Linked DNA regions of Mus musculus: all the other regions are reported to be linked to region 4. Evidence: microRNA targets listed by miRTarBase, many of them from high-throughput screens and not tested one by one. Region 4 holds a microRNA gene; each other region holds the end of a gene's coding sequence.
Evidence for each region. Region 4 holds the annotated microRNA mmu-miR-24-3p (UGGCUCAGUUCAGCAGGAACAG, at 1,823-1,844, shown strand). A microRNA usually pairs through its seed, bases 2 to 8, with sites in the 3' UTR of a target mRNA and lowers its output. Matches are read on the target gene's strand: a 7mer-m8 pairs with bases 2 to 8, a 7mer-A1 pairs with bases 2 to 7 and ends in A, and an 8mer does both.

Region 1: miRTarBase lists Nsrp1 as a target of mmu-miR-24-3p. Seed matches in the 3' UTR shown: 7mer-A1 at 2,755-2,761 and 8mer at 2,686-2,693.
Region 2: the mRNA of Neu3 is a reported target of mmu-miR-24-3p. Seed matches in the 3' UTR shown: 7mer-A1 at 793-799 and 8mer at 861-868.
Region 3: miRTarBase lists Phf24 as a target of mmu-miR-24-3p. The part of its 3' UTR that is shown has no 7-base or 8-base seed match.
Region 5: miRTarBase lists Nucks1 as a target of mmu-miR-24-3p. Seed matches in the 3' UTR shown: 7mer-m8 at 2,001-2,007.
Region 6: the mRNA of Mdh1 is a reported target of mmu-miR-24-3p. The part of its 3' UTR that is shown has no 7-base or 8-base seed match.
Region 7: miRTarBase lists Gria3 as a target of mmu-miR-24-3p. The part of its 3' UTR that is shown has no 7-base or 8-base seed match.

The regions. Positions count from the first base shown.
Region 1 is chr11:77,042,035-77,046,101 of GRCm38, forward strand. Nsrp1 (nuclear speckle regulatory protein 1) reads right to left here. Exons shown (of 7, transcript NM_001012309.2): 7 at 2,258-4,067. The coding sequence ends at 3,706. Among named protein-coding and RNA genes, the nearest start is that of Gm22772, 8.9 kb to the right of the region's middle.
Region 2 is chr7:99,809,509-99,813,575 of GRCm38, reverse strand. It overlaps Neu3 (neuraminidase 3), which reads left to right. Exons shown (of 3, transcript NM_016720.2): 3 at 1-2,137. The coding sequence ends at 318. Among named protein-coding and RNA genes, the nearest start is that of Neu3, 17 kb to the left of the region's middle.
Region 3 is chr4:42,939,337-42,943,403 of GRCm38, forward strand. Phf24 (PHD finger protein 24) reads left to right here. Exons shown (of 9, transcript NM_001346526.1): 9 at 169-4,067. The coding sequence ends at 265. Among named protein-coding and RNA genes, the nearest start is that of Dnajb5, 8.5 kb to the right of the region's middle.
Region 4 is chr13:63,299,429-63,303,495 of GRCm38, forward strand. It overlaps Mir24-1 (microRNA 24-1), which reads left to right and starts at 1,780; the gene lies at 1,780-1,847. It overlaps Aopep (aminopeptidase O), which reads left to right. Exons shown (of 16, transcript NM_001289926.1): 16 at 1-3,449. Mir23b (microRNA 23b) reads left to right here and starts at 1,056; the gene lies at 1,056-1,129. It overlaps Mir27b (microRNA 27b), which reads left to right and starts at 1,284; the gene lies at 1,284-1,356. It also overlaps Mir3074-1 and a transcript of Fancc not described here.
Region 5 is chr1:131,930,517-131,934,583 of GRCm38, reverse strand. It overlaps Nucks1 (nuclear casein kinase and cyclin-dependent kinase substrate 1), which reads right to left. Exons shown (of 7, transcript NM_175294.3): 7 at 1-3,550. The coding sequence ends at 3,378. Among named protein-coding and RNA genes, the nearest start is that of Nucks1, 22 kb to the right of the region's middle.
Region 6 is chr11:21,553,754-21,557,820 of GRCm38, forward strand. It overlaps Mdh1 (malate dehydrogenase 1, NAD (soluble)), which reads right to left. Exons shown (of 9, transcript NM_008618.3): 9 at 2,939-3,815. The coding sequence ends at 3,690. Among named protein-coding and RNA genes, the nearest start is that of Mdh1, 16 kb to the right of the region's middle.
Region 7 is chrX:41,671,749-41,675,808 of GRCm38, reverse strand. Gria3 (glutamate receptor, ionotropic, AMPA3 (alpha 3)) reads right to left here. Exons shown (of 16, transcript NM_016886.5): 15 at 3,343-3,590. The coding sequence ends at 3,345. Among named protein-coding and RNA genes, the nearest start is that of Thoc2, 240 kb to the left of the region's middle.

The DNA of each region.
Region 1 (4,067 bases), not on the chromosome of region 4:
GTTACTAATTGAAGGGCTTTAGCAGGCCCACGCATGGCAAACATGGCACTGGCAGGCCTTGCTCTTTCTTCCTGGTTCCCTCTCTGTTCCTAAACTACAGATTATATCTCTGAAGTTGGCCAACAAGGTCTGTTTCCTTACATGGCCACTTTCCCATGCCAGACTCATTCCTAAAGCTGATCATCCAGGTTCAGCTATCAAAGTGCTGAAACCCAGCAATCAAAAGCCCCCTTGGCTACCCTAATTAACATGCCTAATGAGAACATATCACTGAATCCTAGCCCATTCTAACATGGGCCTCCCCTTTTTACCTCTTAAAAATCACACCTACAGGGTCATTTGCTGCTATTCTCTGCCAAAATCAGAAAGCAGTCATCTTAACTTTTCTTTCCCACGTAAAAAAATGATACCTCTGTGAAAACAGGTGTTTGGGTGTGGTTTGTACCCAATTCTGGGTCTGGGAGGGAGCACCCTGCTGTCTGTGGGGACCTTCACTACTGCTGCAATGAAACACCATGGTCAAAGCAACTTGGGTAGGAAAGGGTTTGACTTACACTTCCACACTACTGTTCATTGAAGGAAGTCAGGGCAGGAACTCAAACAGAGTAGGATCCTAGAGCTAGGAGCCTATGCAGAAGCCACGCAAGAATGCTGTCTACTGGCTTGTTTCTCATGGCTTGCTCAGCCTGCTTTCTTACAGAACCCAGGACCTTCAGCCCAGGGATGGCACCACCCACAATGGCCTGGGCCTTCCCCATCAATCATTAATTAAGAAAATGCCCCACAGACCTCCCTACAGCCTGATCTTATGGAGGCATTTTCTCAGTTAAGGCTCCCTCCTCTCTGATGACTCTAGTGTGTCAACTTGACATAGAACTAGCCAGGTCAGTTCTCAAAGCAAAGGACAATGAAAGCAACAGGTGGAGGCAGAAGTAAGGGGGAAAAAATGCTCTGGAAATGAGGCTGCATGTCAGGGTCCAGTGAGCGCTCTTAACCAATAAGCCATCTCTCCAGCGCCTGTATTGTTAGTGACTGCATTGCATGTTAATTCTTGTTATTGCAGAATGCAAATGCCTTTTGTCAATGGGGATAAAGGGCACACTTGGAGACAGCATGCTAGTGTTTTGCCATGCTAAGGATGGTTTATAAAGGTCTAAGTGGAATATAAAAACATAAATATATGTATCAGGAGCCACCTGGGACTTTATCCTTTTTCTGAAAAGACACAAGCATAATCTTGTCTCCATGGGACAGTACCAGGCCCCTCCTGAGGACCTAGGTTCAGTTCCCATCACCCCATGCGGCCATACACAGCCATCTGTGACTCCAGTCTCAGAGGATCTGATGTCCTCTTCTGGCTTCCAATATTATACCTATTTTGTTCATGGCAAAAATGTTTACAGAAATTCAGTAGATTTCTTATCCTGGTGATTGTTCTACTTGATTTTGCTGCAGTAACTACTGGCTTTTCAATGTATTCTGGCTCATCTACATGAAACTGTGAGACAGACCACAGAGAAAAGGCTGTCTTCACTGTGTGGCTGCATAACCTTCAACATAATTACAGAGGGACTTTTATAAGTAGAACTTCTAGTAGAATTGCTCTAAGGCAAACAGAATAAAAGTTGACAGAAAAAAAAAAACAAACCTATGCCACCTAAGCAATCAGTATCTTTTCCTATACAAAGTATCTGATCTGTTTTGTGGAAGCATTTGAATTTCTGGGAGAGGGGAAATAAGTTTATCTGATCTCTTTGATATAATCTCTCCCTCCTTGCACAACATAATCAAATTGACTTTTCCAAGCATAGGGAATAATCCTAAGGAACAGTGTGTGCTCGCTCTCTCTCTCTCTCTCTCTCTCTCTCTCTCTCTCTCTCTCTCTCTCTGCTCCACTCTCAGTCTCACTGTCCCACAGCTATGCTGCTTCCCCTGTGTAACCAGTACTTTCCAGGGGTTATCCAGGATCTGCATAAATTTCCCTAAGTCACGCAGGAATCTAGATATTCACTCTGTTATGTCTCCTCTTTGGATCTAAGGATATAATAATAAACATTAAACATGACATTTAATATATAGTAGTTTTTATCTACTTCAACATACACAACCAAGCTTATTTTCCTAAAATGATAAACTCTTTGTGGTAAAGTATAGTGAGATAAATTGTCTTTTTGTGATGGGAAAACTTGCCAGAGAACAACTTTCTCCCTAGTAGTTATCCTTCCTTTACCCATGAATAAATTTACAGGATGTCAGGTTCCAATGACTTAGTTCAGAAACTAGTTTTATTTGAACATAGAGATAGTTTTAACAAGCTTCAGTCTCCTTGCTGGAGTATATAAAACTTTTTTTTTTCATTCTCAGCTGACAGATTTAGTTACACACCAATTTAGTAATTTGCAAAATACAAACTTACAAAAAAAAAGTGATGTCTTCTAAATAAAACCCAGAATTGAACATGAATGAAATGATTGCTTTTTTTCAATCTTGGACATCAACTCCAGGACCTTGTGCATGCCAGGCAAGAGCTCTACTACTGAGCTTTGTCCCTACCCTGGAAATCACCTTTATAGTTAAGTAAATGTTGAATTAAATGCAGTAGCATATTACTATCTTTATTTTTATTTAAGCCAAGTATGCTGTGGAGCAAAAAGTTTAAACATGCATGATCTAGGGCTGGGGAGATGGCTCAGTGGTTAAGCGCACTGACTACTCCTCCAAAGGTTCTGAGTTCAAATCTCAGCAACCACATGGTGGCTCACAACCATCCGTAATAAGATCTGAAGCCCTCTTCTGCAGTGTCTGAAGACAGCTACAGTTTACTTACACATAATAAATAAATCTTTAAAAAAAAAAAAAACCACACATGATCTATCTCTATGTTACATTTTAACAGGGATTTCAGAACATAAAACAATTTTCTCTATTTCCAAAATGTATATATTTTAACTCAAAGGAAGTATCTACAAAACAGTTTCTGTAACAAGAGACAAATTGGGCCTAGGGCTGGTCACTGCCTACAGTTCTAGCACTTGAGGGGCTGAGACACAAGGATCACTTGAGCACAGGATTTCTAGAACAGCCTGGGCAACAGAGCATAACAACAATCCCCACCCCACCCCACCAGAAGCAGAACATAATAAAAAACAAACAACAACAACAACAACCAAAATCTCCTCAGAGCCTGAGAGATGGTTAAGAGCACTGGCTGCCCATACGGAGGACCCAGGTTTAATTCCTAGCACCTACAAGGCGGTTCACAGCCATCTATGACTTCAGTTCCCGGGATCCAGTGCTTTCTTCTGGCCTTCTCTGTGGGTACTAGGCAGCCACCCGGTGCACTGACTTACATGTAGGCAAAACATCCACCCAGGTAATAGTTAACACAAAACCAAAAAAACTCAAAAGCAACATTTGTACAAGCTATTTATTAACATTATAACATGAAGCCAATTTTCCTCACAGAGAATCTACAAGATTTAACACCTTTGACTCTTGAGTAAAACCAAGAAAGTGCTATACATTAGGAAAAACCTCACAAGCACTGAAGCTCAAAGAACTGACTTTTGATTTAACAAATTTTGAAAATATATTTTAAAAAATACTCTCCAGTCGCTGTTCTATGAACAGTTGTATGCTTTCTTAAACCAAGTTCAAGAGTTACAATGCTCTACGCTTGCAAGGGACTCCAGATATGGGCAGTCCTTAGTCATCTTCTTTCTCAATATAAGTCTTTGCGTTTATCCGCGCCATCTGTCTGGCCAAATACCTGTCTCTAGCTGACATCACAGTTTCCTCATTGCTCCGTTTTGCAAACTTGCTCACAGCCTCAGGGGGCCTCTCTTGCTCACTGCCCTTCTCTGGCCTTTCCTCTGCCAGTCTGTGTTTTGTTGCTAGTGATGTTTCAGAATGAGAGGGCTTCCCTTGTTCCCCTTTGTCCTTCTCCGTGTTTCTTGCTTTGCTGGATCTTTCCTGATCAAGGTCGTCCTTTGGTCTAGACCGTGGGCTGCTTTCCCTTCTGTCTCGATGTCTTTCTGAAGACTGCCCATGTCCTTCTGGCTTCTCCC
Region 2 (4,067 bases), not on the chromosome of region 4:
CTGGAGGTGGAGAAAGGAGCTGAAACACCATCAGCAACATGGCTCTTGTACTCACATCCAACTAGCAAGAGGAAGAGGATTAACCTAGGCATCTACTACAACCGGAACCCCTTGGAGGTGAACTGCTGGTCCCGCCCGTGGATCTTGAACCGTGGGCCCAGTGGCTACTCTGATCTGGCTGTTGTGGAAGAACAGGACTTGGTGGCGTGTTTGTTTGAGTGTGGGGAGAAGAATGAGTATGAGCGGATTGACTTCTGTCTGTTTTCAGACCATGAGGTCCTGAGCTGTGAAGACTGTACCAGCCCTAGTAGCGACTAAAGCCAAATCAAGACGGATGAGTGAGGCCCAGCTTCCCACAGAAAGGAATGGCAGCTACAGCCAGGGTAACAGAGGTCTCTGATGTCTAGAGAAAACTCTAAAAACTAATAATCTGCTCCTTGAATTTTTTCACTTTTCCCTTCAATGAGCATGGTGAAAATTGTGCCATATCTTACATAACGAGGCTCTTGAACTGGGAGTTTGAATCTCTTCTCTTCCCATTAAAAGGAGAGGCCATGTGCTCGCTTCGCGTTCGACAAAGCCTGGATTCTGATCTTGAGTGGAAGCCACAGGCTTGTCTTTTCCAATGGTTCACTGCTCACCTGAGTATTAGGTGATGTGTAGGTGCCTTGGCCAGAAGAAAGATCTGTGTTGTTGTATTTTTTTAAATTTATTTATTTACTATATGTAAGTACACTGCAGCTGTCTTCAGACACACCAGAAGAGGGCGTCAGATCTCATTAGAGATGGTTGTGAGCCACCATGTGGTTGCTGGGATTTGAACTCAGGACCTTCAGAAGAGCAGTCAGTGCTCTTAACTACTGAGCCATCTCTCAAGCCCCGCATTGCTGTATTTTTAATAAGAAAAATGCCCTTATCCTTCCAATAATGCCTGGAGCTGTACAAATTCTCTGTCTTAGAAGACTTGAGAAAGCAGAACTGTAAGGTCAGATGCTTTCTCCAGCCTTGATGCTGTGTTCCACCTTCCCTTCCTCATCCAGAAAACAGTTACTAGGGAGAAAATGAGAAACCCATGCCAGCTGCCCTTGATGATGGTTGATAACGGTGCTTATTGCTTTTGATGTCATTACCTCTGTTAGAGATGAATCAGAGTCAGAGGTCCTTAGCTGCATCCACCCATTTCCAGGGGGACATTCTAACACTGCTGAACAGTCAGCTAAAATGAGAGCTGTGTGTCCTAGCCTGATTCCAGGTTAGTCATGATGCTTCCTGGAGCTGGGCTTTTATCTAATCCCAGGAGCCATCTAGGGGAGGCTCAGAGCTAGCAGGTGATCTTCCTGAGATGGTTTCACCGTGACAGGTGAACCATGAGCCCTTCCAAGCAAGGCCAAAGGACAACATTATAGGAAAGATTTCTAGTATTAATATGCCTTTTCTCTGTGTGTGTACTGTCTTGTAGTGATGCTATATAGACAAATAGATGATTTCTTATTTTTTGTTTGTTTGTTTGTTTTTTTGTTTTTCTGTAGCCCTAGCTGTCCTGGAACTCACTTTGTAAACCAGGCTGGCCTCGATCTCAGAAATCCGCCTGCCTCTGCCTCCCGAGTGCTGGGATTAAAGGTGTGCACCACCACACCTTAATGATGATCCTATAAGTATTCCTAAAATTATACTAGTAATTATTAACTCCTTTATAATAGGACTGCTATTAAAGCCCTCGCTGATATGAAAACTACAGTGAGAACTCTGCCAGTCTTCACATGTCATAATTACTTCTGAGATAGAAAGCAGGCATTTACAACTTAGAACACATTTCTTAGAGCTGTAAAACAATTAACTAGAGGTCATAAAAGGGAATGAAAGATTTATTGTAGGTGCTAGGACAGAACATAAAATATTGACTGGGCTTATCTATATGAAACTTCATTGTTAACTTTTACACAAGAATTATGGTTTTTAACTTTCAGTGAACCTGCGGAGCTAGTGACAGAAGAGAAATGTCTAGTTAGATAACTACTCTTAATGGAAATTCACATAAACATCTGTTGCCATCTTCTTTTTGAATTTATGTTTAAACTTGTGAATGTTTGAATTAGACACTACGCGAGCACATAGAAAATAAAGAACTAAGCGTGAACAGCTTGGAGTGAGTTAGATAGTTTCAATAGTTTTCCCTCCATTTTTCTTTTCTCTTGGAAATAAGGATTAGAACCCCTTTTTAAAGTGTCTCCTTTCTTTTTCTTCCAAAAAGTGACTTTCCCTAGCTGACAAGGAGTTAAACCCTCAGCTTTAGGTGCTCAGCCTGTGGAGAAAAGAACAAGGACCTCTTTTAAGTGACAGGTGTCAACTTGCCAAGAGACCTGCAACTTTTAGCCTCAAGAGTAACTTAAAGTCAAAATTGGTAAATGTTATTATAGAAAGCACACAATCTCTCACAAGACCAATTCTTGTCCCCCACCCCGACACCCCACCCTTCCATCCCCAACCCCACCCCATCACACCACCACACCCCATCACCACACCGATGCTCTTTGCTCTCTATCCTCAGCTACCTCCCAAAGAGAACCAGAGCTCAGAGCTGATCTCCATCCACCTAGGTTGGGCCTGGTCTTACAGTGTAAGATGTCCCAAGCCTAAAGCCAAGCTGTGACATGTGGGGTTCTCATTTTACCAGTATTTCCCTTTTGTCCCTGGTTGGATTCTCCATGACTGCTACTCCTCCATGACTCCAAGGGAGATGCTGAGCTCATAATGTTCTGAGTGTGTCTTACCTGACTCTGTGATGCCAGACACATCACTGTATTCATAAACACTGCCATCACTTAGAGCAATAGTTCTCAACGTGTGGGTTATGACTGCTTTCACAGAGGTCACCTAAGACCATCAGAAAATAAAATTCATAACAGTAGCAAAATTACAGTTATGTAGTAGCAACAAAATTATTTTATGGCTGGGGGGTCACCACAACGTGAGGAACTATATTAAGGGGTTGTAGCATTAGGATGGTTGAGAATTGCTGACTTAGAAAAATTAAATATGCTTAAAGGTCTTCATTCCATTGATTAATGATTTTTTTTTCCCCCCGAGGCAGGTTTTCTCTGTATAGCTCTGGCTGTCCTGGAACAAACTTTGTTGACCAGGCTGGCTTCGAAGTCAGAAATCCGCCTGCCTCTGCCTCCCAAGTGCTGGGATTAAAGGCGTGTGCCACCACCGCCCAGCTCGATTAACGATTTTTTTTTGAAACAGGGTTTCTTTGTGTAGGCCTGGCTGTCCTGGAACTTGCTCTGTAAGCCAAGCTGGCCTCGAACCCACAGAGATCCACCTGGCTCTGTCTGGATGCTAGGATTAAAGGCAGGCACCACCACCACCCAGTAATTCTTGATCTTGACTGCTAAGGAAACTGAAATGGTCATTTTCTTAATATCTATTAATAGTTCATAGTCAACATTTTTCAAAAAGTAAATTTGAGCCAACTTATTCTTTTCAGAGAACTCTTTAGAAAACGTTAATACTCTTTTGTAGTTTCATACAAGGTTGTTTAATCAGCGAGAGGGAAACAGAGCCAGGACTACTGTGGCTGGTTTGTGAGCAAGAGATACCCATGAGCATGTATGTGAAGAGCCTGGCCATGCAGTGACCACTGACTGCAGCTCCAGGTCTGGCCACTGCATATCTTACTGTGTTTTCAAAAGACTGAATTACTGTCAAACTGGCTGAAGAGTCCCGGTGTTCCAGTAAGAAGGTGATGCCTTTAAGTTCACTGCTGATGTTAAAGCATGCATGCCAGTGAGCTGTTTAGCTGCTGCTGGGCTTCACCAACTAATTCAGTAGGACTCCTTAAATTCTCTCAGCGAGTCTGTGTGCTCTCTGAAATTCACTTTAGGAAAGGCTTCGAGTAAGCTTAGCAATTTTCATAATACTGAGATGTTCCCAAGGACAAAAGTAACGTCCAGAGAATACTAGTTTACCTTTTCAGTAGTTTTATAATAATTGTTTACATAATCATTTAAAGCAAGAAATCTGATGTCTTCTATTTTTGCATTTTTATTACATTGGTCCGTGTTGGA
Region 3 (4,067 bases), not on the chromosome of region 4:
AAACAACTGGTTTGCTAGCTTTTTAGCAGAGCCGACCCTAACTGTATTAGTCATGAGGCAAGCCCCACTGAGTTTTGTCCAGTCCAAGGCAAGCTGCCACTGGGATTGGGCCTTCTGGGCCTTCCGCATCTGTGCCCCGCCTTGCAAACCTGTTCTCTCCCTCTGCAGATACGTGGATTGGCCCACCTTCCTAAGAGAGAACGTCATCTACATCTTGGCTGCTCGTCCTAACAGCGGAGCGATCCACCTGAAGCCCCCAGGATAGGTGGGACAGAGAAGCTCAGTTCTGGGACGGTGGCATCCTCTCTCTCTCTCTCTCTTTCCTTTCTTTTTCCTTTACCAACCTCTGGCACTGAGACTCATGGGAATGGGACACTGCCAACATCTTAATTTGTCATTAAGCTTTATGGCACTGAAGCCACCGTTCCCCTCACAACCGAGGCAGTATTGCCATAGTGAGAGGCCCCAAGAGCTGTGGCATTACCTGCTATGGATCACCTCCTGCCCGCACATCATAAAACTACCTGCCACCTCACGCATACGTGTGTGCACATGCGCATACAACCACATACATGCCTAGACATCCATGCCTTCAAACTCCTTTGGTTCTTTCTTTGATGAAAAAGGACCAAAAGCCTTTTGTTGAGCCCCCCTGGTTTAGATAAGAGGGTCTCTTCTCACTCTTTTTATTGGTCAGTTCTGATTCCCAGGAGAAAGAAGGGGACAATTTAAATTCACTTCCCCTCCAGGAGATGCCGAGAGGCCCCCCTGCCCACATGGAAACGCCCTTCGGTGATGACCACTGTTATTTGTGAGTGTCTGTATGTCCCTCAGGTATGCCATGGTGGGAGAACAGTTCAAAACCATCCCGAAGTTTGTGTTTAAATTCTGATTCCTTGTGATAGAGAAGGAACCTAGTTTGTGGATTTCTGCCTGGAGAAAGTGGAGACAGTCTCTCCCAGAGAGCCAGAAGTCTAGGAACTTTTCAGCCAGGTCATCCAACTTCACAAGTCCTTAGCAGAACAGGAAAACCAAGATGAGACCCCTGGTCCCTAGTCTTCAAGTGGTCCAAAGCTCTAGGGACCCAAGAAGAACAGATACACTGGCAGGAATCACTGTGTGTGAGGTGCTTTAGCCTAGGTGGCGGCCTCAGAGGCCGATGAGGATGCAGAAAAGAAAGCCCGGGCTTTTCCTACTTTCCAGCCCAACTCAGCCACAGACATAGAACTGTGGCATCATATGGAGGGCAAGCCACCCTCTTACATAGCCAGAGGAGCTCTGCAGAATGCCTACGCAGTTGTGCTTTTTAAGAAGAGACAACAAAGGCTCGAGAAGATTTGTATCTCAACTGTCAAGAAGTCCTAGTCAGCGTCAGAAGGGGGACAGTGTGTCCTTCTCCCGTCTCCCCAGTCGCTGCTTCTCCCTGATGCTCACTCCGTGTCTTCCCCTCACCTGAGAGGACCTTGTGGACAAGTGGAGAACGAACGCCATGGGTGTAGCAAGCTTGGCCTCCAGGCTTTGTGTAACCCATCACCCAGTTCTGAAGCTCTGGAGTCAGAACATGGTGTGGGTCAGCCCTAAGACCTAGGGATCCAGGTTCTGGATTTCTGTTTTCAACCAGATGACTTGGGTATGGGCAGTTCTGACAACTAGTTCTTCATGAGAGAACTGAGCAAAGTCCCGCAGAAAGCTTGCATTGTCTCCACTGCTGAAAGCACTTGTACTAAAGTGGATGGTTTCAGGAGAAGGAGCATGCTGCTCAGTGTTGAGAGGCTCAGATGCCATGGGCACCTCCAGCCAAGCCTTGCTAAGAACCCTGCATGCTCTCCTTCTGTAGGACCTGCCTTACCTAGAAGCAGGGTAGTATACTGCTGGAGACAGATTATTTAGGACTGAAATGAAGCAGGCAGGAGATACATGTGGGTTCATTTTGAAACCCACAGCTTTTAAAAACTATTACTTAAAGCTGGGCATGGTGGTACATACCCTTAATCCCAGCCCTTGAGGGACAGAGGCAGGTGGATCTCTATGAGTTGAAGGCCAGACTGGTCTAAATAGCAAGTTCTAGGCCAGCCAGGATTACACAAGTGAGACTTGGTCTCAATAACAACAATGAAAATGACTCGGCCATGTTCCCAGGACTGATCAGTAAGATGGCCCATTATTGAATCGAGTCGAAAACAAAGCACAAACCTGCTGGGCTCAAGGACTGCATCTGTAGCAGCCAGCCCTGGGGTTTTCCATTGAGAAGATTAAAGCATGCTAAATTCAGGGGCTCTTGCTCGCTCTCCCGATGAGTCATCTTTCTCTCTCTCTGTGGCTGTGGGCTGCTGAACCGCACAGAGATAATTCATCTCTGGGCTTTGGGAATTGGACAGTGCTTGTCTGCCACTCCCCAGCTGTGGACACTGGGAGTCCATCTCTTCTGTTCCATGGTCCTCTACAGACCAAGACGATGCTTACCACCTTGGAGCAGCTGTTTGTTGCTTCTGTACGGTTGAATGGCAGAAGCCCACAGGCTGAATCGGACTGTGCAGAGCCAGCCCCGCAGCTCATCCTCAACAGGACCAGGCCTATCTGGGATCACCTCTTTACCCAGGATGGCACAGGACAGCTGACCTTTTCTCCATAAGCATCCAGTGTTGTTCCAAAAGGAGGGCCCATTGCTCCCTAGTCCGTTGTTACAGAAGCCCGCCCCAGCCCTATGTCCATAATCTCTCTTTGGTGTGGGCTCAGTGTTTATAGAGGTACACTGTCATCAACCTAGTAAGACTCATTCCCTTTCCAAGCCTTTCTATCACTGTGACTGTCTAAAATTCTGCCAAGTGCAAAGGTTAATGTCTGGCTCTGATGAGGGTCTGAGAAATGTTTCAGTCTTTCCCATCTTGGCTGCTGAAAGTTAAGATCAATGCTTTTCTCAACACCGCCCATCCTGAGCTCCAACCAATAGAGGCTTGGGTTGCATATATACTTCTCTGAAGACCACTTCCCCCAGGCCTGGTTCTCATCCAGAAGTTCTCATCCTTATATTCAGATTAACTAAGGGAACATCAGGATGCCACAGCAGAGCTGCAGGGACAGAGCCGCTGAGAGCGGCTCAGCACTGCATAACCTCTCCGGGTCTGTCCCTTGGCCTCCTTCCCCCACAAGACATTTGAGCAGCAGCCCCTATGGTATCCAGGGATGAAGCAGTTTCCTTATTCCTAGGTACTGATTCAACTCAAGTGCTCTTCCTTTGAGGAAAGCTGCAGCAGAAGCCATGAATACATTGCCTCTTTCTAGCCCCAGCCCAAGCAATGGGCTGGCAGGGTAAACACTTGCCTTTCTGGACCTAGTGCTTCCTAAGGGAGGTCACCTGGACCTTGTTTAAGTGGCCAAGTCTTGGAGTTCCCCCATTCCTATCACCAAAACAGAAAGCACAGAATTCAACTGCCTGGGAAGAGGGCACTCCACTGGGAAGTGGGTGCCAGGGTTGTCCCATGCCTTAGTCCAAAGCACAATAATCATTGCAGGCATCACGGCTTCCCAAAGTGCATAAATCAGTAAGGCGAAGAGAAAGGATCAACAGAAACTGTCTAGTAGGGGCCCATCCAGCCGTGACTCCCCAAGAGGCAAAAGCAAGCAACCTTAAGGCACAAAACTTGAACTGGCAGCAGGCTCTGGTAGTCCACGTCTCCTTCCAACCAGCAGAGTAAAGGCACAGACACAGTTGTGCACCGCATATGTATTCAGAGAGACACAAGTATGTAGAGTCATTCATGGCCCAGAGCGTGGAAAATAGGGGCAAGTCTTGTCTGGACTGATGATTAAGAGACCCGTTTCCATTCTGGAAATCCATTCCAAAAACCGTATCACTCGTCAGCATCTTCGTAGTACAAGCATCGAAGAGTGCTCTTACACAAACCAAACAGCTACCACATTAGTAGGCAATATAACTTATGGGACCACCATTGTGCATGCCATCTGTTGTTGGTTGAAATGTCACTATGTGACACGTGACTATTCTGTACTTGGCTCTAAAAGGCCAAACAACCTTAATGCCAAAATTTCAGAACATCCTGACAGCA
Region 4 (4,067 bases):
GGCTAGTGCGTCTCTTTCATAGTCGCCAGTCATCATCTCTACATCATCCCAGGACATTATCGCTTGCCATGGTGGTACATATGATGTTTACTTTTGTATATGTTTGAAATTTTACATCAATCACTGTGTTACTCTGTTGTTCTCTATGATTACCAATTAATGAATATTTAGAATTGTGTTGCTAATCTTAACCCATTGTCAGACATTAAATTTACATTTTCACATTTCACTTTTATAAAACCCACTTCTGTGTAATGTTTATTTTTCTGAAGAACTACACTGATGAAGGGAAAACATGTTACTATGTATGACCATGTTGTTGCAGAAGAGCTGGGGACCGCCACAGTCAAGCAGGGGAGATAGTGGGCTGGAGTAAGCAGGTACAGCCTGCTAAGCCTGCACACTACAAGCTAGGACGGTGGCCTGTGTGGATAGACAGAGTCGGTCGGGGCGCCTCTTCACTGCCTCCTGCAGACATTTCTCTAGAAACTTGTAAGCTGAGGGATTGTTGGTATGTGGTGTGTGAAGGTCACACAGTAAAGCCACTGTTCCCTTTTTAGGTCCCTAGGCCTTCACTTAGGAAAGCCATAGTCACATAGTGGTCCTAGTGACTCTTCTAAGAGTATTTTTGCCCCCTGAGTGAGCAAATCCTCAACTTGCTAGGTCCCCTATGAGCTCTGTGCTATGCCTCAGCTTATCCAACCAAATGCTTGGTCACAGGCAAGCCAGAGAGATGCTCCCTCCCTACACACCACACCTGCTGTCTGAGGGGCCCAGAGACATCCCAACCCATTCAGTCTGCAATTGGAGAACAGGGTGTGTCCCAGGGTTAAAGGCCACATACTCAGAGCAAGGATGGTCCCTAAGGTATTGGTCTCATAGCTGATAAGTGTGTCCTTTGTCTCCCAGTCCCCTATGCTCCTCTATACAGTGCAGCCAGCGCGCTGAAGGACAGCAGGCTGCACTGCTAGCGTGGTGGGCTCAGAGGCGGTTTGGAGGACACTCAGCACATGTGGATGGGAGTGGTTGGGCATGGTGCTGCCCTCACCTGCTCTGGCTGCTTGGGTTCCTGGCATGCTGATTTGTGACTTGAGATTAAAATCACATTGCCAGGGATTACCACGCAACCATGACCTTGGCTGCTCCTGCAGAACCGTGGCTACTTTCTCTCTGCAGTTTGGAGAACAGAGGCGCCTTGTGGCTCTTTGGAAACAAAAGAAGCCAACAGCCTTCGAAGATGCTCACCAGCCCTTTAATTATGGCCGGCGATGACCTCTCTAACAAGGTGCAGAGCTTAGCTGATTGGTGAACAGTGATTGGTTTCCGCTTTGTTCACAGTGGCTAAGTTCTGCACCTGAAGAGAAGGTGAGATGGGGACAGTTAACTTGCAGCTGCCAGGCAGAGGCCACTGCCTGGTGGTCACTCCAGAGGAGGAGAGACCAGCCTGCCTCAAGGCTGTGTTGTCAAGAGTGCAAACAGCGTGCTGACCACCCTTAAGTGTGTCTACAGAAAATACAGTTCTACTGCTAATTAGTTCACTGTAATGTCAAGTGTATTGGGAGTCACAGAAAACTAAACCCAGGTGCATCAAGGAAACTGAGCCAACCTTGTCTCAGCTGATGCCACACGTGATGGGTGGGGGTGTGGTTCTTTGTCCCTGCTGGGCGTGGTGAACTCTTTCTTGTATTTGCAGTCCAGGTCTCCATGTCTCCACAGTCGCTGGCAAGATGATGCCCAGGGCACGCCAGGAGGCACTGCCCAGCTGTGATTGGACCCGCCCTCCGGTGCCTACTGAGCTGATATCAGTTCTCATTTCACACACTGGCTCAGTTCAGCAGGAACAGGAGTCGAGCCCTTGAGCAAAAAGCCTACCCATCTGTAAGTGCCTGAGGCAGGCCTCCCACGGAGAAGAAGATGAAGGGCCTGAGTGTCTGGTACCAGACCCAACAGCAGTGGTATCCCTCTGTATGTGCTCCCGAGGTGGGGATTTGTAGAGTGCAGAGCTAACCTTGGAAAGTTTGCATTCCCTAGAAGCAGGTAGGGCAGGCGCTGAGCATTTGCCACGTGTTGGGGCAGAGCACACCATGTCACCGCTGCCTTGAGCAGTGAGAATGCCTGTCTGAAGGGCCTTGTCTGTAGAGCCTTTCTGAACCTCTCTGGGCTTCACAGCCCTGCATGGCCTGTGCCGTGACTGTGCACCCCAGACCCAGGATTGTGAGGTGTGGCTTCAGTGTTGCCCCTGTCCTCCCATGAAAAGTTCCCTCTCAAGTGGAGGTCAGAGGCTGGGAGGACTCCTGTTGGAATGGCTGTGGTGACTGGGTAATAAATTTTATTGCTGTTTCCTCCACAGGACAGATCACAGTGAGATTCTCATATACCTTCTCCTAGCCCTGGTGGGGCCAGGACTGCACTGACCCTGGACATCAAAGGGAGGATTATGTGGCTGCTAAGGCCATCAGCCCACAGCAGTGGTTGGTCCATCTTGGGCTTCCAGAGACTGGGCTCCCGTGGCATATATAAAAGGCGGAGCCTCATAAACTGTTGCACCTGGCAGCTGCCTTTGTTCCCAGTCCTAGAGAGACTGAGTCTACACACTGGAATTGAGCTGTGACTTTAAGGCAGTCATTCAATGAAGGACACCCTCCCCTAGGCAGATGGAGAGCCGGTTGCCTGCTTCCTGTGATTGCAAAAACTAGCTGCCATGCTCTGAGACTGCAGAATCATGTGACACCTCCTGTGGCTGGTCCCCAAGGATTCTGCAAAGCCCTTTTGATGTGTTCAGTCAACAGAGCATTCCTGTTTTTGAAAATGCAGGAAAGCCTAAAATGTCTTAATAAAGTACCAGATTTGCTAGTGTTCCAGTTTGCTTCTGAATTTGATGCTCCTTAAAAGCAAAGAAGAACGTGTGTCAGAACAGGCACTTTCCACACACTTCCTACCTCCAGGTAATGTTAATTCTAAAAAGGTTGGAAGTAAAGGGAAATTAGTGTGGCTTGGGACTCTGCTCTCTTCCAAATGTGGAGTTTCAGCCAGCCTGGTACTAGCGGAGTCTCAGAACAAGCTCTAAGCTCTTTCAGTCACTGTCTAGAGAACGGTGCTTGAGACTGAGCCATCAGTGCAGTCACATGAGCCCAGCCAAGGCAGAGCGGTGGACAGAGGAACCAGAAGGAGCATCCCACTGGCTGGCCAGGCTTCTGCACCCAGACCTGCTGGGTGACAAAGGCTCTAGGACAGACTGAGAGGAGCGTCCGCACAGAACCATTGGTTTTCAGAGCCTGGGCTGTAGCAGTGACTGCATTTGGATGGTTGCAGGGGACTTGCAAATGGTTATCTGCTTTGTATACCACAATGGTACAAGTATCAAAGTGTGTTAATTCTACTTAATGTTACCCTGATTTCTGTGAAGACTTGAAATAAATGGCTGAGTCTATGCCTTCCTGCTCTCAGAAGCACTCTGGCCTTGCTTAGAGGTGGACTAAGAACCACACACCCTGTAAGGCCCCTCTGAGAACCTCAGTGGCCCATACCTCCTCTGAACTGGAGAGAGCAGCCAAGCACTGGTTTAGTCTGGTTTTGTTCTTTGTTCTTAGGAACCACTAAAGCAAAACAAAGCTGTCGCCTAAGGTGGGTTTTGTTCAGGGATCAAGTCCCTTGTCCCCATGGGTCACTGAGCCCTGTGCCTGGCTGTGTCTGGCTTGGGTTCTTGCCAATGGGTTTCAGGTAAGTGGAGATCTCACTGGAACCAGATGCCCATTTCACAGCTTTGGTGAAGGATCTGTGGTAGAGCTGTCCTTTGCCACCTCTGGCTGGGTGCAGAGCAAGCCTATCCTCCCCTCTCCTCTAGTCCCCCACCCCAACAAGTTAGGCAGCAGCTCCTGCCACCCATAGCTGCACCAGAGGCCCATGAGGCTGTGGAAGCAGGCTTCCCTCATCTGGCTGAGACCTCTGGAGTCAAGAAAGTGCAGTCTCCATTCTTCCGTGAGCCACCTGACTTCACAGGACACAGAACATTGCAAACGTTAACTTGTCAAATAGGATGCGAAGCAGGGTCTGAGGGCGGAAGAATG
Region 5 (4,067 bases), not on the chromosome of region 4:
TCAAGTCTGCTCTGGCAGGGGCCCCTAAACCTGAGTTTTGTTTACACTATTTCCCTCTCTAACCCACATGTTCCTGGACATAAAAATAAAAGCTCATTTAAAAAGTGTCACCTGACATGGTGGCATTAATCCCAGCAGTGTGAGTGAGGGGTGGGGGGAAAAAAACTCCCAGACACACTACAAAGTGAAACCAGGCTCAAAAAAGGTCAAGATCAGCTGACTGTAAGTCCTTCTAGATTATAACCTCAAATTCCACTGATTTTTATGTGGAAGAAAATGCTATCTGAACTAGTACCATATATAAGCATTGAAGACAGGAAAAAAAAAATCAGTTGTTTTGAAAAAAACAAAACAAAACAGGAGTTTGAGGCCAGCCTGGGGTACACAAAATACTGGGGTTTTGGTAAGGTGTCTGTGGAGATTCTCTGGCTACCCTAGAAAAAAAGAAATATTCATGCTACCATTAGTTTTCCTTTGTAAGGTTAATATGGAGAGGGAGGTACTGAAAGCAGTTAAGTTTTTCAGCAGATATGTAAATACACCCTTTGGGTCCTCTCTCCAAAACCCCATCAGTGGTGGACGGTTAAAAGCAGCAGTAACTTACCACTGGGCAACACAGAGGCTACCATTTCTGACAGGGGGAGACAAAGGCTTTAACCAGAGCCTAGAGAACTAGAATGTAGTGTTAGCTCAACTGCTGCATCTACTAAAGAGGTAAACCTAGCTGAGCATCAGTAACAGACAAGCACCTTCAAATGAGCATCCCATTCCTGAGCACTGCAAAGTAAGACAGTTGAATACATTGCCACTTCACTATAGGCACACCAGAAAGAAAAAGACAGAGGAAAAGAGGAAGGAGAGTAAGCCATAGAGGTGCCAAGGGCCAGTCATTATGAACTGAGGGGCACACCCTCATATCATTGTTACACCTAACTGCTGAGCACCGGTTTCCAGTTGAGTCACATTAAATGTGTTCCTGTTTGCATACACGATTTGAAGGGAAGACCAGAGTGTTATAAACCACTAAAAAAAAAAGTGAAAACAAAGGTCACTTAAAGCCTGTGTGCTCATTTGAGACACCATTAACCCAACTGAACTGTAATTAGAAAATATACCTTCAATCTAATGAGTTAGTTTTAAAAGGAATTCTAAACAAGTCCAATCAGACACACCTTTTACACAAGTAACGTAGAAGATAGTATTATTTCTCAATTATAGGTAGATAAAATCAGAGATGTTAGTGCAGATTATTAAAGAGATTGTTAAAAAATTGAGGCCTAAAGTTGAAAGAGACCCTACCCACAACTTTTCATGAAACATAACCTAAGAAAAGCCTAAATGTCACTAGGAATGTAAGACTGAGTTATAAACCCCTAAAAGGGAGAGATGCCTGGTGGAAATGGTGAGTCTCTTCTTTCTTTAAGGACGGGTTCCTGAGCAAGCCCACCACAGCAAATAGAATAATCTGTAATACCAACTACATAGCTCACAACCTTATATCCCATTACAGAATACAATAATCCAACTGCTTATGTTCAAGTTTCTATTTTTGGCCATGTTAATACTCATTTATTAGCAGTGCAGGGTTGAAATAACTCTCTGCTACTAGGTGCTTTATTTATTCATTTATTTATTTTAAAGCAGATCTAAGAATGTTCTTTAAAGTGTCTTAAAAACCAGAGTAAAAATATTTCTTAAATAACCCTTTGTCCTATGAACACCTATAAGAAAATGACACTGTCTGAGACAAACATGTCACTTAAAAAACACAAAGGCAGAATACTGAGGAAGCAAATTTAGCTTAAGTGCAGAAAAATATACAGAAATTACTCCACTAAATTTTTAATAGCATAATAGGACCCCTAATCTTTTCTTCTATTGGCGAGTGGGACCTGAATGTGGAGGATCAAACCTGATCTTGATGCTTTGCTAAGGTATCTAGACTGTTATCAATGGCACAGAGGCACCCTAAATAAAATACAGTTCATTCATCCCATTGAGGCTCAGGCTCTTGCTTTAAAAAGAAGCATAAACAGAAAGGAGGGGTCAGACCAACTAAGAAGCAAACAACTCCACAGTATGGAAGCAGCAGGAGGAGGTTGTGAGATTATGTCATTATCATGTTACTATGGAGGAAAGATTTAAATATCGAAAGGAAACAACTGTGGCATGGTTCATGGGCCCTCATTTCAATTATTTGTATTCATAAAGGATAAATCTCAATCTTTTATATCTGAGCTTCACACTAACTCAAACTTTATTTGCTTAAAACTTTTAACATTGTCAGCCTGTGAAGAAATGCACTGTGAGGGGTAAATTCATCATCGAAATTCAAAGAAATCTCTTTTTAATTTTGGATCATTGGTGAAACTACCCAAAAACAGGAAGTATTTTAAAAACTTGAATCAATGAAAACATGAATAAAATATGAAATTAAGACTGATTCTGGTGGCCTACTTAAAAAAAAAAAAAGAAAAAAGACCGTTATCAAGACAAAAGAAGCACTGGCTCTGAATCTCTTTGAGAATAACAAATCCACTAAGTTCCAGGAACACCATTCCCTCCACACCCAAGGAAATAATGTGAGTGCTGAGTTAATCCAGAATTCATGTTCACCCCAACTGCCTCACTAGTACTAATTTAGAGTCATGATTCTTTTTGACACTTACAGTTCAGACATATAAACTCATGTTAAGTGACAACTGGTCTGTCAAAAGTACAGGAAAAGAAAGAACAAATATTTAATTAAAACCTTTCTAGTTTTTTGTTTTTGATTATTGTTCAAGTTGCTGTTCTCTAGCAAGAAGCAGTTTCCATAGCGTCCACCTGAAATCTTATTGCTTTGCAGCCATGGCATTCCTTCCCTCCATTGACAACTCGAAAATCAAACAGTCACTCCAGTGATTGATTGACATGGCTTTCGTGGGGGGAGGGGATTGGCAAAGAAAAGACTGAGACAAAATGGCAACTTAAACACGTAAGCATACAATGGTTTTAAGAGCCAGGCGGTGGTGGTGCACCCCTTTAATCCCAGAGCTCGGGAGGCAGAGGCAGGCAGATTTCTGAGTTCGAGGCCAGCCTGGTCTACAAAGTGAGTTCCAGGACAGCCAGGGCTACACAGAGAAACCCTATCTTGAAAAAAAAAAAAAACCAAAAAAACCCAACAACAACAAAAACCAAACAAACAAACAAAAAAAAAACCCAAACAAACAAAAAACCCAATGGTTTTAAGAGGGAAAGAGATATATGATAGAGAGAAAAACATTATTCTAGACAAATGAAATAGCACTGAAAGCCCATGAGTCAAGCCACAGCCCAAACCGTGTCCTACAGAGGTTTCCTTTGTTTTTAATAAAACCTCTCCCTAAACATCACTTTTAATCTTCCCCAGATGAGGCTTCATCCTCGGACCCTTCGTCTCCGGACTTCTTTTCTGGAGGGCTTTCTGCTTCCTCATCCTCTTCTTTGGGAGAAGGAGTTTTTTCCTTTGATTTCTTCGAAGCTGTGGGGCGACCCACTTTCGCTTTGCCTTTCACTGGACTTGGCGTCACTGAAATATGGAAAGTAACAATTTGGGGAACAGAAAAAAATGCCTTTTAAAAAAATCATTTACAAAACCAAAAGTCTGTAAGTATAAAAATTTATCCCATCTCACTAAGAAGGAAACACACGAAAAGGCGCATTACTCCTAGTGAGGATTAGGTCACATTCTGAGCAGAAACTACAACTATCAAACAGGTTTGGAAGCTCTAAAATATGGCGAGATGAGTAAAACTTTTTAACAAGAAACATATTAATTATATTTGCCAGAATGAAACTCTAAGCAAATCTAGACTTCTGATTTAATAAATTAGCTTGAACCAGGAAAATACCTGGCAAAAGCTTTGAAGACCCAGGAGATAAATCTTTACTCTCAAAGGTAGTTTGGTTTCTGCTATCAGTATCCTGACAGAACAGAAGATGAGAACGGAAAGCCTTCCCCAGCTGCTAGGACTACTGTCCCCAGAAGCAGCCAAGGCTTCCTGAATCTCTATTAGGGTACATTGTGTCTGAAATGAAGATGTCAT
Region 6 (4,067 bases), not on the chromosome of region 4:
AGCCTCAGGTTTTTCCTCTATTCTAGGTGTTTATTCCTAGGCTATGTTCACAGATGAATTTATAATTATTCCCTCAAGAAAGTGAGGAACTTCTAATTCTTCAGATTTGACCTTAAAAAACCAACTCCTCAGGACACCCCCCCACACCCCCCTCCCAGAGAGAGAGAGAGAGAGAGAGAGAGAGAGAGAGAGAGAGAGAGAGAGAGAGAGTGAACCAGTACTGTCTAAATGGATCCTCACCCCCATTATTTTCTTCAAAGAACTTAGTTGACCACTAGGTTCCCCCAACACAAAGCTAAGCTGTTATCAGACAACATCTGAGGCCCTCAGAAAAGGTTTCCTCACTTCTGAAACCTGCCTACTTGGTGTTTCCAATATATTCAAAGGGCCCAGATTTATGACTTTTTTTGTTTTGTCTTTACGAAAACTTCATGAAATTGTTGCCATTTTAGAACATGGAATTTGGAGTAACCTAAATCTGTATTCCCTTGCAATCGTTACTCTTATTTGGTTCCAAAATAAGTGATCTCATTCCCTTTGAGACGAGAGCTGTTTCTTATATAAATAACCCTAACAGTACCAACTCTATCTGCACATAAAATCATCGCTCATCTAGATCTCATGAGGAATGAGTTTTAACACCCCCATATACTCAGTGAGTGACTATAGTTACTGTTTGAACTTTTGTTCACTATTAACATGTAATACTTGTGTTTCTTTCTGGGGGCTATCCATGCCTGCTAGATACCCTTTGCTGAGGTGGTGGGGGATTCCATTTTCTACTCCTGTGGAACAATTAGGAGTTTGGGAAGATGAGCACCTAGGTTTCTTGCTTCAGGACAGACACTCCTAATTTATAGAAAAATGGAACCATGCAATATAAAAACTGTGTATAAATAGTCCTTGTAAGGTTTATTTACCTTATATGTATGAATGCTTTGCCTGCATGCATGTATGCGTATCACATGCACTATTAGATCCCTTGGACCTGGGGTTATAGATAGTACTGAACCACCTTTAAGGGTGCTGGGAATTGAACCCAGGTCCTCTGCAAGAACAAGTGCTCTTAACTGCTGAGCCATTTCTCTACTATATGTATTATAAATTATTTGTTGTTGAGATCAGGCTATGCCCTAGTCTAAGTCACTCCCTACTATTTAAAGCAGTGATTTCTTAAGCCAGGCACTGCCCCATGAGACTTTCTTTCACAAGTGCTTTTGACACCATATGAAGATGGAAGATAACTCAGTTGGGTGGACACATGAATGGGCACCATCTATCCAGAAACACAGCAGACTGATTCCTGGGAAAGGGGTCCAGCCCATGCATTTATTGGGGTAGATGGGGGCTTGAGATAGCACATGGGGGTGTTAAAACTGTGTCACAGAATCCATGGCCAAGAACAACCATTTCAGACTAAGGAGATGGAGCATCTCTCACCTGAGTCACATGAAGAGCTGATCACCTGTATCACTGTTATCACTGTATCCACTCTAGTCTGTTACTTGAGCACCCTGTACTTAACAGATAGGCAGAGAACTGTCCTGGGGGCTTCAGGTTGTCTCCATCCCTGCTGTTGAAACAGCATGCTGCTAAATTGTTGACTGCTGTCCTGTTTGCTTCTCTGGACCTGCTGTCCATCTGTTTGTCTGTCCCTTCATCTGGACCCACTAAAACCTGGAGAGGTGCTTCATTCACCAAGAGACAGCATAGAAAGGCAGAGATAGAGAGCCATGAAAGAATGACAAGAGATGTGGGGGAAGTCAGTCTTCAAAGAAATCCCATGAACAAACCTGGCTTTTGTACATTTTCAGAGCTGGGAATGATTTAGTTTCAGATAGCATACATGACAAAAATAAACAAATAAATAAAAAAACGGGGGTGAGGGAATCCAGGTATAGAGCTCTTATCTGCAGCATAGACAAATCCCTTAACCCTACCACAGAGAGTTCATGGTAAAGATGAGATGGTCTGATTTCTTCAATTTTTTTTGTTTCTGTTTTTTTGTTTTTGGTTTTTGGTTTTTTGAGAGAGGGTTTCTTTGTGTAGCCCTGGATGTCCTGAAACTCACTTTGTAGACCAGGCTGGCCTTGAACTCAGAAATCTGCCTGACTCTGCCTCCCAAGTGCTGGGATTAAAGGCATGTGCCACCACGCCCAGCTGATTTCTTCAATTTTTAAGATTTGATTTCTGAGTGTGATCACTGTCTTCACGGTGTAAACTGTAATGTAACTATTATTAAGATTAGAGTAAAATACACGTTTTCCTTGGTGGAGGTGGGGGTTGGGGTGGGTGGATCAGGGATAGCTGGGTTATTTGGGCAAATTGCTGTCGATGAAACTGTCATGCTTTCTCAATTTATTGTTCTTCAATAAATGTGACACTGAGGAAAGATCAAGTGTTCATCTGCTTCTGACGCTGCACCTCCCACACCTCTAGTGCCATTTTGTATTTTCAAAACAAGAGATAGTTGGGAAATGAAATGTGAAAGAAATATAGCATGCAGAGTCTTGAGTTCCTGTGTTACAGGAGCAAGGATGTTATGGGGATTGAGAACTTATCTGGCACTCATGCAAAATTTTATTAACTTATATACAATTTTGGCTTTATGCTTCTCACTAATAAAAGTCCTGAAGGTAGCTTTTTTTTTTTTTTTTTTTTTTTTTTTTCCTAATGGTAGTTTTAAACTCTTGCTTTTTTCTTTTCCAGATCCTATCAGAGCTGGTGAAATAGGTCATCTTATTATTAAGAAAAACAATTTTTAAAGACAGGGTTTCACGAATCCTATATTGGCCATGAAGTCACTATGTAGCCTAGGATGACTCTGGCTTTTGCCTTTCCTGAGTGCTGGGATTACAGGCACGCACCACTATGCTTAGTTCTGAGTGGTGTTGAGGATTGAATGCAGGGTTTTGTGAGGTATAGGCAAACACTGTATGCACTTTAATATAGATAATATTTACTAATACAGGTAAACAGCAAATCTAACCAACAAGTATTTGAATATCCACAAAGCAAATTACAGCCAGCTTTGAGATTATGGTTATTTATTGCACTGAGTAATGCACAAAACACACAAAGATGATGCATGTCTTCTCATGGAAAACAGACTGACTCAAAAACAGTTTTATGTTTCTAATAATCTTAGCTTACAAATATTAATAGTGTGGTATTATTGGCTATCAAATATTAATGACTTCATTATTCTGCTATAGAATATAAAGAAGATAGATTATCTGCAACCTTCTTACAGCTAATTTTAAAATCAAATTATGAGCAAAACATGAACCAACCTTTAAGGACTTAAGTAATGGGATCCCTCTGAAATTGATTGGGCTTCCTTGTTTATGTTAGAGACTAATGCTTTACTTCATAATATTTTCCATCTTTATTTCTTTTAGTCAATTAAAAAAGTAAAATTATAATCTATTGGGCAAACTTGTTTTCCTGAAGATACTAAATATAAAGTAGAAACAGAGTCTGAGAGATTTTCACTTGAATATACTTTTATTTAGATTGCAGCACTAACAACATGATAGACTTTCACAAATCATAAAGCACACACTATTTAAAATATTTTGCTGTTCACAATTTGAATGTAGCATTATTACTGTTTGGTACTAGGCTCAAAGACGACATTTTGATTCCTCAGCCTTCGGCTGTCTGCTGATGTCAAAACGAGTGTCTAGTCACGCAGAGGAGAGAAACTCAAAAGCGGTCTCCTTTTCCTCGGTCAGCTCCTTTGCTGTCAGGTCCATCTTTTCACGGGAGAAGTCATTAATGGGGAGGCCTTCAACAAACTTCCAGGTCTTATTCTGTCAGGGGACAAGGGCGAGAGCTTCAGCTGAAGTGACAGTGGCTTTTCAGCGGGGACCAGCAGGGATAGCCTAGCTTAGAATGGTAACTCAAAGCACACCTGTTTTAAAGCCTGACTCTAAATTGGAGTCCACTTTAAAAAAATCATCCTCAGGATGGAATCCAGCCAGGGTCTCCTGCATACTAGGGACGAGCTCTTCCAGAACGCAGGGCCTATACACACTAGCAGCCCTTCCGTGGGGGGAGTGAGT
Region 7 (4,060 bases), not on the chromosome of region 4:
AGTTTAAAGGGATAGCACATTCTAGAAAACAGGCAAAAGCAGTGATACCCATGAAACAGCTTGGCATCTATAGGTGCTTTGCCTTGAAATTAGGGGCCCGATTGAGAGGGTGCTGATAATGCCCTCGTTTTCATGGCCTCGACTAGATGCAGGGGATTCTTTGCTCCTGAGTCTGTCTCCTGTTGGCTCACATCCTTTCTCAGCCACCTTTCCCTGTACACTAACAGAACATTCATGTTTTCTCTTGAGTGAACCCTGAAGCTAGGTTGAATGAATGACATCATTATCTACCTCTGGTCCTAGAATTAACATATGTATGAGAATGCAAAGAGCCAAAAGATTAACATGAAAGTAGGAAAAGCTCTTCTTTGGTACTCCCCCAGATCCAGAGTCTCTCTCTCTCTCTCTCTCTCTCTCTCTCTCTCTCTCTCTCTCTCTCTCTCTCTCTCTCCCTTGCCCTCTCCCTCTCTCCCTCTCCCCCCCTCTCTCCTTCTCTTCCTCTTCTCTTTCCCTCCCCTCCCCTCCCACCTCTCTTCTTCTCTGTCTCTTTCTCTCCTTCCCTCCATCCTTCCATCCTTTCCTTCCTTGCTTTCTTTCTTTCTTCTTGCCAATGGGATAGCCTTATCTGGCCCCATAACTCTAAGAAAGTGACTTGACTTCTCAGTGACTGTTTCCTGCTCTTAAATGGTAGGAAGGGAAACAGCACTGGTACTCAGATAAAAGCTCTCTGAGGAAAAAGAACTTCACCCTCTCAGTTATTCAAAAAAATTTTCTTCACTTGACATAAAATTAGTTTTTGTTTCTTCTTCAAGATCCCTTAAGCTGGAAAAAACTCTCCAGCAGGAATGTCTATGCAAGTTGGACCTGATGGCTCACATCTATGATCTCACTATTCAAGCTGAGACAGGGGGATTTCTGTGGGTTTTAGCTCATTCTAGGTTATTAGGTAAGCTCCTGTCTCAACCTTTCACCCACTCAAAGAATACCTACATATACGCTATTTAAGGAATCTTGATACCTTGGAAAATAACAGTATTTCATAGGATGGAATAGTATAGACCTAGAGGAAAAATGGAACTTTCTCGAAATTACAGGCTTGTTGTGTCCTTGCATATGAGATGGATTTCAAAAACATTCCTGAAGAAGCCAAAGAAGCTAACTGTAGTTTTCAATACACACACACACACACACACACACACACACACACACACACATATATGTACATATATACATATGTGTGTGTGTGTGTGTGTGTGTGTGTGTGTGTGTGTGTGTGTGTCTGTATGGAGTATATGGAGTGCAGTGCATAAGAAGTACGGCATGGAGGGTCTACAAACTTTTTCAAGATGGTTTTTAATAATATATGTTAATTATTTTTGTACATGTTTTGTCTGCGTGAATATAAGTGCACCACATATATGCAGTGCTCATGGAGGCAGAAGAGGGCATTGACTCCCCTGCAACTGGAGTTACAGTTGGTTGTGAGCTGCCATGTGGGTGCTGGGAACTGAACACTGGTCCTCTGCAAGAGCAACAAGTGCTCTAAACTATTGAGTCATCCGATGGCCTGCATGGACAGCTGTGTAATAAACTAATCATCTCTTGTCAAATTGACAAAATCTAACTAAGGGTTCAAATTTCCTGAAGACTATCAGGCTATAGATGGAGAAGTCAGGAAGAGGTAAGTCTGGTTTAGTAAAGAGGAAGAAAGGCTTCACTTTACACTTGAATCTGCCACTACCTAGTTGAATAGCTTTAGACAAGCCACTTGTTGTATCTGAGTTTTAGGTACCAGAGGGGAAATACTGCCTGATCGATTTTTATTACAACCCAGGGAATAGATGTGACAGAACATGGAAAACTGCTATATATTCTTAAGGCGTACTAAATAGTTGGACTTCAACTCCTTGGGGTTTGCAGTAATTATGCTAGATTGAAATTGTTCCTGTACTGTCCTACAAAAAAAAAAAAAAAAAAAAAAAAAAAAGCAAATGATATGCCCCCAACTGAATTATATCATCAACTCAAAGCACTAGCACATGAGAACATTAACTGATTACATGCTAATAGTGCTAATGACAGATGAACTTATGGGTTGAACATTCACTAGTGGGAACAATTTGTTAACAGGTTAGTTCATTGTACGGAGTGTGTAGTAGCTGAAGGCTGCAGTCTACAGGACAACAGGACAACGAGCAACTTCTTCAAGTAAGATCATGTTTTCCATGGTAATAACAAATGATTTGTTTGGATAAAATGTTTAAAAATTAACTAAATTTAGATTTATTAGGTTATATATAAGAAGGTCAACATATAGAAATTGGAATATATTGACATTTACTGGTAGGGTTAAAGTTAGCCAGCTAAAATAAGGTATAGGAAGTTGCTAATTGTTATGTTCTACTTTTGATAGGCACATCAGTAAGGCAAATGTACTTGGAAGGTGGTAAGACTTTATCCTTTTATATACTTGTAGAATGGAAGCATTATTTGAATCCATGCTTGCCTTTAAATTTAGATGCATTATTGGTAGTCAGGTTTTCCTAAGTATTAATTTTGATTTGGTCACCAGCAAGTAACCTAGACCCTTACTTACCTGAGCACCATCAGTTCCAAGGAAGGGATAACAAAGGGACTCAAAATTAAGAAATTTGTTTCATGCTTCCACTGCTTAATTAAAACAACCACTACTTCTTCATGGAAGGACTTCCCTACATGAGGTGGCAGGACCTTGCTTCTTTTTCCTAGTTTAAACCTCAGTTCCAGAATATCTGATTTCTCTAGAATTATACTGTCTAACATGGCAGCCATGGGCACATGTGACTACTAAATATTTGGCATGTTGCTAGTATCACTTGGGTATTCCCTAAGTATAGAAGCACCCCAAATTTCAAAGATTAGTATAAATAAAAGAACATAAAACATCTCATTCATTTTCAATATTATTGTGTAAGTGACAAATCGAAATATTTTGGGTATCTTGACTTCAATGAAATGCATGATTAAGATTAACTGCATTTCTTTTATTTTTAACTCTGTAACTAACAGTTAAATGTTATTCATGTGGGTCACACGTGTCACTCACATATATTTGCATTGAATAATACTGCTTAAGAATGTATTTTTTCCTTTCATGTCACAGACCATAACTTAATTCCAGTTATGCTTTTAGAAAAGCACCAACCACTGACACGAGAACACAATCATTGTTTAAAGATAACTAACTAGTAGCAAAGAGGCAATGCTAGAATCCAACCAAAGTAAGAAACAGGAAAGAATAACAACAAAAAGGTTAACACACACAAACGTAAGGCTGATTAGTTTACTAGACCTTAACCGTACCCCTAGATCTTAACACTTTCTGTTCCATACACGTTGTAGCCTTCTCTGTATGTAGCGTAATTCTGAGTGTTGGTGGCAGGAGCAGGCTTAAAGTTTTGGGTGTTCTTTGTGAGTTTCATGCGTTTGGACTCTGCCCGTGATTTGTAACAGAATTCTATCAAAGCCACCATCATGGCCAGCCCCAGACCTCCGACAAGTATATAGAACACGCCTGCCACATTGCTCAGGCTTAGAGCACTGGTCTTGTCCTAAGAAAAATGAACAAGGCGATTAGTTCTTGAGGAAAACAAAGGCAAGAGGACATCATAACACATCACAACAGCATAGGGCAATTCTAAGTTGTAAAATAACTAAACATTTGTGTAAGTGTTAGGACTCAACTCTGGCAACTGGCTTAGGTTTCACAATGACCAGCAAGATGGTACATTGTGCTTCCGTTGACTGTTTTGAATCTCACACCTCAATGTCCGTTTTTTTTTTTTTTCATTCTTAGTATCTTCAAATGTTTAATAGTGTTCAGCCACCAAAATAAGACATCATTTGTCCAGGGGAACAAAGAGTAAACACAAGCAGAATGTATCCCTCTGCCAGCCCAAACACAAACCATTTCCCAGAGTTGAGCTGTGACATATTCTCTACAAATGGAACATTTTTTTTCTTTTGGGAACTGAAGCACTCTTTCCCCTCTCTGCCCCACAGTACCCCTTTCTCCCTTGTT